Saccharomyces cerevisiae S288C: one gene and its partners. Changing the gene in region 4 together with the main gene of any one other region gives a genetic interaction. Each region holds a gene or a part of one and is shown on either strand. Other genes may lie near its edges. The genes, in order: AAH1, PRI2, UBA3 and SPT2.

What was found.
Region 1: mutations in SPT2 (region 4) and AAH1 together harm fitness more than expected from each alone (negative genetic interaction), as found in Saccharomyces cerevisiae (2 studies listed by BioGRID).
Region 2: mutations in SPT2 (region 4) and PRI2 together harm fitness more than expected from each alone (negative genetic interaction), as found in Saccharomyces cerevisiae (2 studies listed by BioGRID).
Region 3: mutations in SPT2 (region 4) and UBA3 together harm fitness more than expected from each alone (negative genetic interaction), as found in Saccharomyces cerevisiae (2 studies listed by BioGRID).

The regions. Positions count from the first base shown.
Region 1 is NC_001146.8:357,500-361,448, reverse strand, and holds AAH1 (adenine deaminase), read right to left. Parts: upstream 1,854-3,949; coding exon 810-1,853; downstream 1-809. Other genes in the region: THO2 (Tho2p), read left to right, coding at 1-525; YNL140C (uncharacterized protein), read left to right, coding at 1-532; ammonium permease MEP2, read right to left, coding at 2,497-3,949. UniProt on the Saccharomyces cerevisiae protein: Catalyzes the hydrolytic deamination of adenine to hypoxanthine. Plays an important role in the purine salvage pathway and in nitrogen catabolism.
Region 2 is NC_001143.9:351,402-356,070, reverse strand, and holds PRI2 (DNA primase subunit PRI2), read right to left. Parts: upstream 2,579-4,669; coding exon 992-2,578; downstream 1-991. Other genes in the region: DCW1 (putative mannan endo-1,6-alpha-mannosidase), read left to right, coding at 3,447-4,669. UniProt on the Saccharomyces cerevisiae protein: DNA primase is the polymerase that synthesizes small RNA primers for the Okazaki fragments made during discontinuous DNA replication. In a complex with DNA polymerase alpha (DNA polymerase alpha:primase) constitutes a replicative polymerase.
Region 3 is NC_001148.4:678,733-682,741, reverse strand, and holds UBA3 (NEDD8-activating protein UBA3), read right to left. Parts: upstream 1,530-4,009; coding exon 630-1,529; downstream 1-629. Other genes in the region: ISA2 (Isa2p), read right to left, coding at 1-522; ROX1 (Rox1p), read right to left, coding at 1,943-3,049; YPR064W (uncharacterized protein), read right to left, coding at 3,372-3,791. UniProt on the Saccharomyces cerevisiae protein: Catalytic subunit of the dimeric UBA3-ULA1 E1 enzyme.
Region 4 is NC_001137.3:498,371-502,516, forward strand, and holds SPT2 (Spt2p), read right to left. Parts: upstream 1,979-4,146; coding exon 977-1,978; downstream 1-976. Other genes in the region: RAD4 (Rad4p), read right to left, coding at 2,260-4,146. UniProt on the Saccharomyces cerevisiae protein: Histone chaperone that stabilizes pre-existing histone tetramers and regulates replication-independent histone exchange on chromatin.

The DNA of each region.
Region 1 (3,949 bases), on a different chromosome or scaffold from region 4:
AGAGGACCAAGCAATGATCGTTCTGCACCCAAAAATATTAAGCCAATCAGTAGTTATGCACATAAAAGGTCAGAACTACCAACTAGACCTAGTAAAAGTAAAACATATAATGATAGAAGTAGGGCACTTAGACCCACAGGTCCGGACAGGGGCGATGGTTTTGATCAAAGGGATAACCGCTTACGTGAAGAGTATAAGAAAAACAGTTCACAACGTTCACAATTACGGTTTCCTGAAAAGCCATTTCAAGAGGGCAAAGACAGCAGCAAAGCCAACCCTTACCAAGCTTCATCTTACAAGCGCGACTCGCCTTCAGAAAATGAAGAAAAGCCGAATAAAAGATTCAAGAAGGATGAAACAATTAGAAACAAATTTCAAACGCAAGATTATAGAAATACACGAGATAGCGGTGCTGCCCATAGAGCCAATGAAAATCAAAGGTACAACGGAAATAGAAAGAGCAATACTCAGGCGCTTCCGCAAGGTCCCAAGGGTGGGAATTACGTCAGTAGGTACCAGAGGTAATTACTAGTACTTAACATACCCGAGCTGAATTTTAACGTGTACTTTGATAGTTCCCGAATTGTAATCTCGTGAAATACAAAAGGTCCAGCTAATGCTCGTATAATCACTCAAATAAGTTTGTAGAATTCTATTGTATCCTTTCCCACACAAAAGGGGATGTAAAAAGCATCAAAAACATCGAATGAAATTTGTGCATACACATAGTGTTATAAATTTACAAAAAAGCGCTTATGAATCGAAAAAGACTTTCAACAAAAATATTATACAATGTCTTGCAAATGGTACTAATGCGAATATTTAGTGACTACTTCGTCCACTCTACTTAACAAACCGTTCTTTCTTTTATCGTCACACCATGAACCTTTAATGGCGTTCTTAGCGATACGACCCCATGTTTCATGGTCCCAGTGTGGGAAATCTTTCGAAACTTGAGTGTAGACATCTAAGATATAACCACCAAAATAGGCGGGGTCATCAGAATTTAAAGAAAATGGAACATCTCTGTCAAGAAACTTTTGTAGTGGTAACTCTGAAACGGATTGGACTACTTGTAGCTTCACGTTGGAGAGAGGACAAATAGTTAGCATGGTCTGGTCGCGCGACAACCTATCCAATAACTCCTCGTCGTATTGACTGTTGATACCGTGATCGATTCTTGTTACTTGCAACAAGTCTAAAGCATCCGAGACGAATTGAGCGGGGCCTTCTTCACCTGCGTGTGCAGTTAGTTTTAAATCTTTATTCAATGAGGCGGCCTTTCCGTAACATTCAACAAATAAATGTGGGGGAAATGGTTTCTCAGCAGAATCTAATCCTAAGGCAGAGATAGTACCATCTTTAATAAATGGGGTAGCTTCTTCGATAGTTTTCAAACATTCCTCTGGTTCAATGTGTCTTAACAGACACATAATTAGCTTGGATGTAATACCAAATTCAGAGAAGGCTTTGTCACAAGCTCTTTGGAAACCTTTAGTGACTGTTTCTATGGAGATGCCCCTAGATGTATGTGACTGAGGGTCGTAAAACACTTCAGCATGGACCAAGCCTTGTTTGTGAACTTTTTTAAAATAGGCCCACGCCAAATCAAAGAAATCTTGTTCACTAATCAAGACATTAGTACCAATATAATAGTAATCTAAGAAATCCTGCAGATCACGAAACTTCTTATACTTTTCGTTTAATTCCTCGACCGATTTAGGAAAACCTTCAGGTAGAATTATATCGTTTCTTTTAGCTAATGGGAACAATAGGTCAGGTTCTAGAGTACCTTCCAAATGCAAGTGATGCTCACATTTTGGTAACTCCTGTAAAAACTCCACAGAAACCATTATTTTTTTTTTCTTTTCTTTTGTTAGTTCTAATGGTAGTTATTATTTCAAAATAACTATAAATACACAGGCCTGCTTGTCAATTATTCATTTGCAAAAGATGTCGCTTTCATAAGCCTTATATGTTAATTTTTTTCAATCTTCGTTGGCATGCGATGAGGTCAGTTTCCTGCGCCATTTCAGTGCAGTTTCGAGAATTTTAAGATTCAAAAAAAAAAAAAAAAAAAAAAAAAAAAAAAAAAAAAAAAAAGAAAAGAGATGGAAACAGTGAAAGATAAGGCAAAAAGGAAGTATATCAAGGTTTTTACATCAAAATATGTCTTCTATAAGCGATGAAAATTTGCAACCAAAGCAAAATAAACCTTGTGCTCTTTTCCTGTTAACAGCATATATAGGGTATATAGAGGCTTTCTTAAAGAAAATTTCTTGCTATCATGCTCTGGAGATGCTGTATATTATAGTGTGCACAGTTAAAGTCATCGATTATGATAATAACATAAGACAAGAGAAGTAATACTAACGTCTCCCCTCATCATTCGGAGTTATCAAAAAAAGAAAATATATCAAATATTAAAAATAAAATTATTAAATGAAGCGTTACATAAAGATTAAACATAAAATCATAGTCTGCTTGAGTATATCATTATACTATATGGTCAGTGTTCTTAGTAGAAGAAGCGTCGGAAGGCGTAGAATTCTTTTCTGCGTCTGTGTTACCCACAATCTTATCATCAATGTTTTCATGAGGAGGTGGCATTTGTGCCGATGTTTTAGATCTGATTGGTTCTGGGATGTAAGCAGTGGATTCCTCGTATGTAAATTCACCAATTTGAGCAGCGTCGGTACCTAATTCTTCCTCATCAGCACTTAATCTTAGTTTTAAAAATGGAATGGCATTCATAGTTAGAAGCAAGATAGATGTGACAGTAACAGTCCAGGCTAGTGCAGCGCATATACCTGCTAATTGATAACCAACTTGTTTATAGTGATGATTGATCCAGCCACCATCAATTGGACTAATGTAAGAGCCTGCAGTGGCATTTACATAGTCTGCAGCAAAGATACCAGTTAATACAGAACCAATACAACCACCCACACCATGGATAGAGTAACAATCTAGACCATCATCGATGCGCAATAGACTCTTTAAGTCAACAGCAAGGTTACATCCTGCACCAGTAACCACACCAATGACAACGGCTGACCAGATTGGCACGAACCCGGCGGCTGGGGTGATACCCACTAGGCCAGCGATGATACCTGAACACAAACCAACTGTAGTCCACTTTCTTCCGCATCTGAAATAATCGATAACCATCCATGTCAAGCCACCGCAAGCAGCAGCTAAGTTTGTGGACATAATAGAGTACCATGCTCGTATAGTTGCATTACCTGCAGAGCCTCCGTTAAAGAACATCCAACCAAACCATAAGAACACTGTGCCTAAAACCACCGAGGTGACGGAATGTGGTTTGTACTTGGGCATCCCTTTACGTGTAACAGGGTCATTACGCTTACCCAGTATCAAAGCGTAAACTAGACCACCATGTCCAGATGTTAAATGGACACATAAACCACCTGCATAGTCCAAGCTACCCAATTTGACCAACCAACCCTCGGCATTCCAGACCCAGCATGCAATAGGACAATAAACAATAGTCATCCATAAAAACAAGAACACCATCATAGGAAACAACCTTGCCCTCTCGCAGGCACCACCTAGCATTAGGGCACCGGTGACTGCGGCAAACATACCTTGGTAAACGGCAAACAGTATATCGGGAAGAGAACTGACACTAGATGGGGCTCCTAAAACGTTACGAAACCCAAAGAATTCCAAGGTACCAATAAAACCGTTACCTCTAGTGTTGTGTGAGAAAGCTAATGAGTATCCCCAGAAAAACCATTGGAAAATACACACGGCGGAAGCCATCATCGAGGCCCAAAGCAAGGATAAAGCATGCTTTTTCCTGGATAAACCAGAATATAATAAACCGATACCTGGGACCATAATCCACACACCTGCTGAAGCCACACCGATCCATCCCATGTTGGCCAAGTCAAATTGTGTATTCAAATCTGTTGTCAACGAGTTA
Region 2 (4,669 bases), on a different chromosome or scaffold from region 4:
ATCGTTCATTCCGCAACATTCTAACTTATTCCCGTGAGGGGTGGGCGTGCGATTGGAATTAGTCTTTACAATTTGTAAGCTCTACAGCAACTTATGGGTGGGCACGCACTGTCCCTAATATTTATCATCGCATCGTGCAAATCCGTCTACGCAGTATCTAACTTCGAGTGGGCTGATTTTGCATGTAACGTTATTGTGGCTGCTTTTTTAGTCTTCGAAAGAGCCGACCGCGTTTATCCTAGACGAAGGGGTGCCGTTTTAGGTCCACGGAAAGATAAAGACGATATCCATCAATAATATCGCACGAAGTCTAATCAGGGAGCGGTGCAAAATAGTCTTCTATACTTTTTAGTCACAGAATACCTGCATAAGGAAATATTAGATCTTCCCGGTTTTTTACTTCCGCTCTTGAAAACCGGATCCTCGAGGTTGCATCACGGCATTACCAAATCGGTGAGATACTGTCCCTCCCATGCGTTTTAAAGGCCAGCCACGTATCCAGAAAACGCAGCACCTGCATTTTTTGGTGGCGGAGGCTATGCTGGAAAAGGTAGTTCTTCCACTGCAGTAACTTCTGCCACAGTAAATTGGCGTGGATAGGCCCTGCAACATATTGCAGGTTTAAACGGAAAGTGTCCCCGCTTGTAATGGAAGAAAACGGTAAATTTTAATGAAGTGTACAGGCATAAAAGACAGGCGGTTAGTTGTTCTGTGTTGCCTGTCACAGAGGAACAGCGCGATAGCTTGCAGCCACAAAATTATAAGGTTTCTCTGGCCAGCTATTAAAGTATGAAAAAATTCGGACAATATACATATCTCGGACGTTTTCGGAGCAGTGCAGTCACTGGTATTGTACAGCGTTTATCGTTTCTCTTTTTTTTTTTTTTTCTCACTAAAGAAAATTTTTGACCATACTTACAGTAGACTAAATTACGTATACTATTAATCCTTTTTAGTTATCTCTTCGCTTTTTTCCTTTTCCCTTTCTGCACTAATGATTACCATTATTGAATAGTTTTTCCTTTTCCAGCTTCTGCTGTTTCTTTTGCAGTTGCCTTGATCTTTCGAAGTATAGGTTAGGATGCGCGATATGCGTTTGCTCGCCAATTTCCAAATCCGCTGATGCAGAGTTGTGTGTCATTTCAAACACTTTAGTGCAAGCAATTGTGTATTCACCTTTCTGGCAGGAATCCAGAACACTGATGATCTGCGCTTGGGTCAACTTCATAGAGCGCAATTCTGCAGATAGTCTCTCGTGACTCCAATCACGGAAAGGGCATCCATGATAATCTCCGCGCCCAGGTCTGGGCTTGGAAAGGATAGTGTGACAGTCCCATGGTTTGTAGTTGATTCTGTTACCTTCAAGACCGTAATTATGCCTGAAGCTGTAACGGTATTCTTTATTGAACTTCTCCATTGTCATGTTCCCATTTCTTGTAAATGCCTCAGACCAAAATTTTAACGCTTCATCAGCGCTCAGGCCGATACCTTTCAAAAACAGACTCAGTTGTTGTCTCCCATAATACCTCAAATGATGGTTCTTTTTAAGACCCTCCATCAGGTTTTTGATACATAGCGGATAGTTTGAGCTAATCTCTTCAGACCAGACACTTTGCGCATTAATCTCATCATCTACGTTCTCACTGAATTGGTTTGCCTTTTGCTGGTTGAAATCCGCGATAGTGTACCCCGACGAAAGATGATTTAGAATTGGTAACAACCGGTCATCCTCATTCAGTCTTGGTAAGTACTGGTACGTTTTTATTAACTCCTGGTTCAATTTGCTAGCAAACTCATTAGAAAGTAAATTCAATTGCTGGAATTGTGGTAAATATGCGTACCCGTCCTTCAAAAACACTAAACGGTTTCCTACCAGTTCTATCACATTTTCGAAAGGTAATTTTATGAATTTTTCCTGTTGGAAATACTGTTTTCTTTGATGTTCCTCGTTTAAATTCAATTGGAACTGTAGAGACGCAGAAACTGTTTGATACAACTGATGAGATAATTCGGCCTTTTCTTCATTTGAGATAAACTGTAGTAAGGGTAAGTCCAATGATTGAACAAATTTTGTTTGATCGGTGGAGGTTAGCATGTTAAATCTAATTTTGAACAAAAACGTTTCAGCCCTGACGAATTTTTCCCGCAGTTCTTTTGAACGACAAAAGCACAATCTTAAAATGAAATGAGAGTAGTAATCCTTTTTTCTGTCTTCTAAACTCTCTGTGTTGAAAGGCAGTAGTTTTTGGAACTGCGGCTTGATAATGGTTTCAATTTCTTTGATCGATTTGTTTCTTGAAAGGCAAGATTCGATCTCTAACAGAATTTTGAGACGATCGATTGCCCAGATCTCAAATTGTTCCAACGTTATTTCTCCCTGTGGTGGTAAATCGTAAAATGATAATTTAGACTCATACAGCCTAGCGTAAAGTTTTTTCTCTTCTTCAGATGAACTTGAACTTAAGATGATCTGGTTAGCTGCATTTGTGTTGCCTACGTCCAATTCGCTTTTGACAATATCATCGTATGAACTAAAATTCTTCCTTGAGGCAATTCTTCTTTTTGACTGCCTGAACATTTCTTCTCCTTATTGTGCTTTACCTGCTGTCACTGGTTGCTCCACCTGGGTAGTTATCAGTCCTGTCAAAGTTGTGCAAATTGGAGAGATGTAGATAGTAAAAAATTTACTTTTGCAAAATCACAGGATTTAATATCGAGTTTTACGCGATTCCCCGCGACGCGTAATTTCAAATCAAGTTAACTATAAATGAGCAGGAAAAAGCAAATAGAGTGAGCAGCAGATATGTAAGGCAATATTGAAACAAGAAGAGACCTGTCGTATCACCTTTGGCCTGATAAAAACAGTGTTTCCATGTCTGTCTGTAGCAGCGGAAACAATCCTACGCCGTGCTTCTGGGCTCTTGATGATGTAAGATGTTCCGTTTCATGAACGCACTGGATCTCAGCTTATAACTGTTGGTTCAGAAAAATTCAATCATTTATTTAAAGAATGTACCGTACGATGAATATACGCTATAAATGCTTCCATATATGTATAAGTGTATCGTACTATATTCGTAGCGGTGTCCCGTCACCCGGTTTTGCACCCGTTCGAGGCGCGATTTAATTTCGTACATCCAGAAAGAAAACTGGCAGATGGAAATAAAGCTCGGATTTCATGATGATCATAGGTACTCTTTGTATAATGGGCTCATCTATTATATATTCACTGTTACTGTGTTGATACTCATATTTTATAAGCAGCTTAATAGGTGTGCGAACGGGAGGATTTTTGGTAAAAAGAGGCTTAAATTACAAGATACGAAAGGGTCAAAACGCTAGGGAAACCTTTCCAGGACATATAATAGTGGATACAACAAAATACACACCACTTTTTTTCTGAGCTTTCTTTCTTTTCAGTCTGTTTTAAAAACGAACACATAAAAATGCTAGTAAATAAAGTGATAGGGTTACTGGGTGTACTCTTCGCAACAAGATTTACAAATGCCGTCGAATTGGATCTAGACAACTACGAATCTTTGCAAAATGCTACTTCACTAATTGCCTACGGTTTAATGGATTATTACACTGGTAATCAGTATGGTAAGACGGTCGGTATGTTTTCAGATCCGTACTATTGGTGGGAAGCCGGTGGTGCCTGGGGCTGTATGCTAGATTACTGGTTTTTCATGGATAACGACACCTATAATGATGAAATTATAGCAGCAATGATACATCAAGCTGGTGATGATAATGACTATATTCCGCTAAATCAATCTACCACTGAAGGTAATGATGACCAAGCCTTTTGGGGTATTGCTGCTATGACTGCCGCGGAGAGAAACTTTACTAATCCTCCCGAGAATGAGCCTCAATGGCTATATTTAGCACAGGCTGTTTTCAATACCATGGCTTTGCGTTGGGATGCCGATTCCTGTGGTGGTGGTTTGAGGTGGCAAATTTTCGTTTGGAACTCTGGTTACGATTACAAGAACACCGTTTCTAACGGTGCCTTGTTTCACATAGCTGCAAGATTAGCAAGATATACAGGTAATCAAACATATGTTGACTGGGCCGAAAAAGTTTACGAGTGGATGGTCGGTGTGAACTTAATTTCTAATGGTACCTATAAGTATGTTTACGATGGTGTCAGCATTGATGATAATTGCACCAAAGTGACCTCATATCAATGGACATATAATCAAGGTTTGCTGTTGGCTGGCTCTGCCTACCTTTACAACTTTACGGGATCAGACCTCTGGCACACAAGAACCAAAGAGTTTTTGAACGCTTCCCAAGTGTTTTTCCATGATGGTATTGTGTATGAAGCTGCTTGTCAAGGTCCAAATTCTTGTAATACAGATCAACGTTCCTTCAAAGCCTATTTTGCCCGTTTCTTAGGTGTCACTGCACAACTAGTGCCAGAAACTAGGAACCAAATTATGTCTTGGTTGAATACATCTGCCATTGCGGCCGCGAAATCATGTTCTGGAGGTACTGATGGTCATACCTGTGGATTGAATTGGTTCAATGGGACTTGGGATGGTATGTATGGTCTAGGTGAACAAATGTCCGCCTTAGAAGTAATGGTCAACACGAGGGCCTTAGATAAACCCGCACCATACACGGCAGAGAATGGTGGTTCATCTGTTGGTGATGGGGCAGCAGG
Region 3 (4,009 bases), on a different chromosome or scaffold from region 4:
ACTACTTTTTAGGCTACCATTGATGATTTTGAACGAAGAACCGATCAACTCATTAGTGTATGTCAGTGTAGTGTTATTCAAAATGTTTAGTGATTTACTATCAATTATCACTCGACCCTTATCTTCGGGTAACACGTATATTATATCCTTGGAATCATCATCGTCAAGGTCGTCTGAAAACTCCTTGTCTTTGACATCATTCTTAATATCTGGCTTGGTAGCGGGTTCTAGAGTTAGATTGTACTGGAAACCGTGACATCCACCACTTTCCACACTAATTCTTAAATTTTCCTTACTATTGCGGTAGATCTCAGCTAGTCTGTTGGAAGCCCTCTCAGAAATAGATAAGTTTAACCCAGGCGTCTTATTTATTATTCTTTTCGGTGTGATCAACGGCTCCTTAGTGACCAGATCCGAGTAAAATGCTTTGCTATGAAATAAAAAACATGTTAGGGGAAACTGGCGTAAAGTTGTGGAGGGACGTCTAAAGTTTAGTCTGGTAAACAATAATTTAGCCTGCATACCTTCTTTACTGTGCAATCACATGTACAAGGCTCTCTAGGATCTCGACTTACTTGCAAGATGTTTAAACAAGTGACACCGGCGGATGGTATTATTCATTAGTAATACTAGTTGGAATTGGAATTTGAACAAACAGTACAGTCGGGTAACCGCTCGAACTTGAAACTGTACATAAAACACCCTTCTGAGCAGTTAATCAAAGTGAAATTATTGCCGTTTTCCAGGTCGATTAAATCATTATAAATCTTAACCATCTGCGTACAGCATGTCGCTGCAACCATCGCATTCGTAGTGCTTACACTAGGTATGATACTCTTTATTATACCCAGGATAAAACTTGTTGATAATTTTTCTGTTGAGATGCTAAATTGGGCAGCCCTTTCGCAGCACTTCTCCAGCAGAAATTCCATATCCGCCGTAGACTCAATATTTAAATCAGGGTATTGTATAGTTGAGACATACTCCACAACATGCTCAATGCAGCGAGGATTGTTGGCGATTGTACACATTGGCACAGTATCCTGCTGCGAGGGCAAGGTATCAATGGAGCACTCCCAGCATGCAGTGATGCCTGGAATGATTGTTTTTACATGTCCCTTGAGCCCCTCTGTTCCACCATCTATGAACGGGATGCAAATTTCATAATTGGACTCCAAGGTAAGCTTCACGAGAGTCTCATTGATGAAGCGACGAGGTTCAATGGCGTCCAGCCCCGAGATTATGAACTGGAAGTCTTTGTAAAAGCTCGGGGGCAAAGTGGTCAGGTCCTGTACGTGCGCCACAACTTCCAATTGAGGGAACCGCGTGTTTACATACTGGGCTGCCACTTGAGCTTTCGGTTTGCCTATGTCCTTATCACAAAAAAGAAATTGTCTATTAAGGTTGGTTAGCTCGATTGTGTCTATATCTACAATATGAACCTGTTTAACAAAGCTTAACATTGTCAAATTCTTCAGGATTTCGCATCCTAGACCACCTGCGCCTAACACCAATATCTTGCAGTCCATCCTCGTCGCTTTATTATCGATAATATAGGTATACAATATCTCATTGATTTGTTTTTTAAGTTTAAAAAAAAGGGCTTAAAAAACGACTATGCTGAAACATTATACAATAATACATATTTTTTTTTAAAGGAATGATATTATTTGTGAGGTGAATATATACGTGAAAATTGAGAATATAATTTTATATATTCAAATAGAATTTGTAGACTGTTTCTTTTTTCTTTTCTTTCTTTTTTGTCTCTGGGTACTTTGTTTTAATTTTGACTTTTATTTGCTGTTATTTTACATATTTTTCAATTGTTCTTTTGAGGCGATTTAAACTTTTATTAAACAGGAGCCAAATGCATAAATTTTTAGTTAAAGGGAATATAGTATAATATAATATAACGGAAAGAAGAAATGGAAAAAAAAAATCATTTCGGAGAAACTAGGCTAGTTTTAGCGGTGACCTCAGTGTTGCTTGAGTTTATAATTTGATGTAGAGGAATGTTTTGGTTTGGTATATGAGGAATGTGATGATGCGTAGGGGTAGTTGTGGACAATAGATTGTTCCTGGTGTGAGACAGTGGTTTGACAATATAAGTTGGTCCCATCTGCTTTAGCTGCTGGTACTGATCCAGTTGAAAATCTTGCAGAGAAGGTAATAGAGGGGGAGGTAAATATTGATTTGAATTGTTGATACTGTTTAATCTGTTGTTCTCCAGTACAGAGGAGTTCGGAGAAGAGGAGAATTTCCCAGGAGAAGATGTCGCAGTTGTTGTGGATGTGGTAGTTGTAGTTACCGGTGTTTGACTGCTGTTGTTGATAATGGATGAAATAAAGGGCAATTGAGGGGTCGAGTTAGCCCTTGGTTGAGCTTGAGCGACGTTGAGGTAATGATGTCTCGTTGAAGGGTCGTGTGGAGCTGAGTAATATGGAATAGAATTTAGTTGAGATGACAGCTGTGGTAGGTCTCTTGCCGTCTTATCATGCGTCAAAGGTAGTCCACTTAAAGATCTGGAGACCATATAGTTAGAAGTATTAACAGAAGGAATAGGCAACCTCTTAAGATCATTGTTCAATTGGAACTGATAGCTGTTCGAGCTTGACACCGAGGAAGATGGTGAAAGAGAATGTGCTCTTTTCATAAGAACTATATTGTTGTTAAAGGGCTGTTGTAATTGCGGTTGTGACTGTTTCTGCTGCTGCTGTTCTTTCTGTTGTTGCTGCTGCTGTTGCTCGATTTCCTTCAAAAGTAGTTGCTTCTTCTTAGACTTTCTTACCGGCTTGTATTTGTATTCAGGATACTTCCTTTCATGTTCTAGTTTCTCCTTCTCCGCTAGATTTTCCCAGTGTGCCTTATCTTCCGGTTGTAAGCCCTTCCACTTCGTACCAATAATTTTAGAAATGTTTGAATTATGGGGTATTTCCACACCTTGAGCGGTCCATTCGTCTATTAAGATCCTGTGGTAGTGCTGTCTGAACAGAATAAATGCGTTCTTGGGTCTTGGAATCTTAGGTGTAGAGGATTTAGGATTCATTGTTGATTGTCTAACTGCGTTCTTTTGTGTGAAGAAGTATTAGTATTTTCTGGAATAATGAGGGGTGAAGAGGGAGAGTTAAGACACCGTAAATGTATAATTATATGCGAAAATTATAAAAGAAAGCAATGAGAAGAAACATTAAAACTGGAAAATAGTGCTATATTTAAGTAAAACTTCTGAAACTACAATTAGCAAATAAGATAGAGCAGAAAAGGAAAATGCAAGAGCGAAAAAAAAAAAACTTTGTTTAAGACCGTTACATTACGCAAAGTGAAAACGAAGAAAATATAATAGCAAAGAGCACTATAATAGTAAGAACCTACACACAAAAGACACAAAGAACACCGGCAAGACAATACGAGGAAGAACAACAAAAGAGGCAGCAACAATAGGCCCTTTTCTTCTTTGTCAGCAATCGCCAAGTTCTAGAACAAGGTTTTCCTACCAGATTTCCAATTGTTTTGCATAGTAATTCCCGGTAGTTCCACGCGGCCGATACCTCGACAGGCCAATGATATCCAGGGGATTTGTCGGCCGAGCCGAAGATCACCTGCCTCTCCGACGTCGGCTTTGCAGCTGCGGCAGCTCCTAGCGTAAGTAGCAGGAAAAAAAAGAAAGAAAATACTTTAAAGTACGCCTGCACCTGGGTTGCTCTAAACGGGAACAAGAGCCGGTTCCGATAACCGCACACTATTATTTCTAATCCCTCTACGTAATTGCTAAGCACACATGACTTCATACTTGCGTCACCCCGATTTTATTATTCCCTCCGGTTAAGCAAACGCCGCACCCCTGAGTCCGCCAGACCGGCCGCAAGAGAACGCAGTGTGTGTTCCTGTCTCTTTGCACGAACAAAGGAGATAGGACGGCACCCAGGCTCGCTAGGCGGCTACATGACTAAATGCCCAAGTTTCGTGCATTATGTAGAAGAAAATAGACGTCTGTGTAATCATTTCT
Region 4 (4,146 bases):
TTGATAATATAACTATTAGTTGATAGACGATAGTGGATTTTTATTCCAACAGTTTTGTTATAAGGTTGTTTCATATGTGTTTTATGAACGTTTAGGATGACGTATTGTCATACTGACGTATCTCATTTTGAGATACAACACAGTGGGCTAAGAATATACAACCGTTTTAGTCAATGTGTTGAAATATCATATTTTAATGCATTGCTCGAATCTCTTCCTTCGACTTACTTATATTGATTAAGGGTATGTATTTGATCCTTCCACCTGGAAAAACTGAGGACCTTACAGTGTTATTAAGTGTATGATGTATCACTGTCGTTGTAGTATTTCTCGGGAAGTTTTTCACTGGCAATTGGAGGTTGCTAGAGTTTCTTTTAACGCATACCCTAAACGCTTGTTTCTATTTTAATGACTACTTGAATCCTATCTAACTGGTGACACAATTTGTTTCATTTTTTAATATCTCACCTAATATATCCTAATAATATGAACATACCATAGCTCTTGTAAAGCTGGTCCATATTTATGTTTAGTTTCCGAATGCTTTTGTAAGGAAACGGGTTGTGGAAAAAAAAAAATACAACTACGTTGCCGCGAATCTTGTTGAAAAAGGTCTCAAATTAAGGCAAAAATGATACTGGAATTGTTAGTCTTGTATAATCGATCAACTGCAACAACCAAGTCTTTAAATTTTCAGTCCGTCTTGAAAGAATAGTGAAGGTTCATTTTTATTTTTACATAGTAAAGTTTATAGAATTATGGGCGATACACAATATAAATGTTCTAACCCAACTGATGCATATCATCACTGTACGTTTGAAAATCGGACAGGCAAACTGGATAAATGGAAAACGCAATTACAAAGGGTATGAAAATGAATGTAAGAAGTGAAACAGTGCCTCGAAACAGTTCCCAAACTCTCTACGACTTCATTAGTCATTTCACGTCCATATATCAAAACATATATCAATATTCCTTAGCGTATGCCCTTCTTACGGCGTCTCTTCTCCTCTTCATGCTTTTTTAACCAAGCTTCCTCACGTTTATCCTCTAACCTTGCCATTTTTCTTGCCATTTCCTCCTCTTCCAAGATTTCCATCTCATTTGCTTCCATATCATCATCCTCAAGCTCATCGTAATCGTATTCTGACCGCTTCTTGCCTCTATTGAACATAGCCCAAATTTCGTCACGATCATATCCGGGACCATTGCTGTGTTTCGATTTGCTGTGGTAACCTTCATCTTCATCGTCTTCTATAAAATCATCCATATCGTTATCTTCTTCATCATAGTCATCCTGGTATCTTGATTTCTGTTTTCTAGATTCTAACTTTTCTTTTAATCTCCTATTAGGTTGAGCAAATCCATTTGTGGGCAAGTTGAGCTTGACGGGCTTGGGTGAGTCTGATGATTTTATGCTATTGCCTCCAGAAGATACTCCACGCAATGTTGCGCCAGGGGATGCTTTCTTTTGTGGTCTTTTTGAACTTTTGAAACCTGGCTTGTTAAAATGTGGGCGTTCCTTAGTTACGGGTTCCGATGACTTAACTTTTGGGGGCTGTTTCTCATTATTTTCCGCTTGTTTCATTAGCTCTTCAAATGACATCTTTTTGATAGGTTCAGGTTTCTTCCTTACAACTGGCTTGAGTGGCGCATGACTTGCTCCAATAGACCTCTTAAACCTAATTCCAAGGCCACCTTCATCATCGTCATTCCTTTCTATTTTCTTTTTCTCAGATCCAGATGAGGTGCCACGTTTCCGTTTTACACCACTTTTTTTAGCCAAAGCACCATTCTTTAACAGTTCCTGCCGCCTCAGCTCCTTCAATCTTTTTACTGCAGGATCTTCGTCTCTTATGTAATTTTTGGGTAACAAGGAATACTCTTCGTCATTCTTCTTGGGTAATGGATCTTGCACTTGGGCTTTTGATGCAGTCGTTGATTTTCGTATTTGGGAAAGTTTGGAAAGAAAACTCATAACTAAAATATTTCACTTTGAATAGGACTCAAGTCCCTGTCCCTCTCATCAACTTTTATTTTCAAATTACACTAGTTATTTTATTGTATTCATATATTAATCTGTGGCACTTGTCCATGTGGGAATATCTTAGTCGAACAAGAAAAATAATCATGTTAAACGAAAAAGTTTGAAGCCAACTAAGTTCTCATTCATTACAAAGTATATACAAAATTCCTGAACATAGAATTTCTTTATTAAAAACATACTTTCCTAATTATTCAAACCGTTTCAGCCTCATTTCAGTCTGATTCCTCTGACATCTCTAGTTCTTTCATAAAATCCGAATAATCCTCCCCGACATCGTCGTCTGTAGCACTTTCCTCCGCTTTGTCAACAGAAACATAATCTAAACTATCTTCTGGCTCTGAAGGTTCACTATACGGCCTTGCTTCGTGGTTTGCTATACCTGGTAGGAACCCACCTCCCATAAAAGTCTCCGTATTATCGTGATTGTCCGCAATATTCTGTTCCTTCGTAACGTTAGGTTCTTCCTCGGCAATTTTACCATATGTGGAGTTCAGCTTGCTACGAATACGCAGTTTTAGCAGTAAAGTATTCCAACTCTCCAAAGCACCAAGCAAATGTTCCTTCCTATTATCATCCTCTTGAATAAACTCTATTCCATCAATAGCGGTTTCAATAGCTTCTCTGAGCCACTTTGCAACAACAATGCCACTTAAAACTGGCTTAACTGTACTGCCGCGTTCAAACTTAAAAGAAGTTACAGCAGGTGCAAATTCCACCCCCAAAAACCTAGCAGCTTTAATTGCCACAGGATTCTCAACCAAACAACAGTTACCAGGTATCATCGTTGGTGCAAAAACTTCGATGTTTCCAAATGTATTCTTGGTTATTTCACCGCTCGCACTGGCTAATGGAGGGATGTATAATTCTGTGTCTTCAAAGCTATATAATCTTTCATCTTCTTCTTCTGCTTCGCCCTTAGGCCTTCCAACTGTCCTCTTTATCACCTTTTTACACCTGCTACCAGTTTTTAAAATTCGGCCGTTCATGTACCATTGTCTAGCACTTTTCAAATCCGCAATATCTCTTTTTGCATAAACTTTCAAAACCTTCCCAACTTTTCCATGTACTTTTAAATATCCACACTCTTTACATCCTGGCTTTACAATTTGAGTCTGTTTGATATCTTGTTCTAAAACATAATATGGGTGGTTTTTCAAATCCTGCACCGAATCTGGTATGCCTTCACTTTCATCTCTCTGAAAAAAATATTGATCTTCGTAATCATCAATTTTGGTTCTCTTTCTATGGTGAAGTGCTGTTATCACTTTTCTGAACCATTTCTCACCAAAGTCATCTTTAGTAATTCTTCTTTTTCTTACTTTAGAGTTCATCCATTGGGCATATCTTCGAGTTACATCTCTACAGCCATACTTCCGATCGTAAGCAATCACGTACCTCAACATATTTCTTTCGCAGCACGCCACGCCTTTCGGTGCCAACTTGGAATGAAGTCTGACCTGTTCAATGGTTTTGAGATTTACTGGGTCAACAGTTATCCATTTCTTAGAGAATTTGTCCCACACTTCACACCAAAAAATCGGATACTTGACCATATCTTTGTACGCATTGTTTCCATTCAAAGAAGTGTCAATCTTCATATTGGTAAAATCTGGCGGTTGACATGACATGATAAGTCGTGCGTTAACATTACAAGCCCTGAGCATCGCAACGAAACCTTGCACTGAAATATCAGGATCTCCGTGACCTTTACTGACGGCCCTTAAAAAGTCAGATCTTTTCAACGTCTTGAATTTTCTTTTGTTATTGGCGCTCATTTCAATTTCTTTCCAGGTTCTCATATAAAGTCCCACATTATCATATTTTTTAGTGATCTTCCAGTGTTTTTGCCATAACTCCATGCATTTCTTCAACCCATCTAATAATTTCCTAGTACTCCTAAGTGGGAGTTCCTCATCTTTCTGAGGATGCAGTAGCTCAAACACTTTCTCAGGAACTAAGTTGCTCAGTTTTCTAGACAAGCGCTTGCTGTTAATCCATTCATTTCGTATAAATCCATGAACCATCAAGCAAACTAGATACAACATGTGGAAATATTTTCTCCTTTTCCGTTCTTCATTAGAACAAACGTTGCGGCTTGT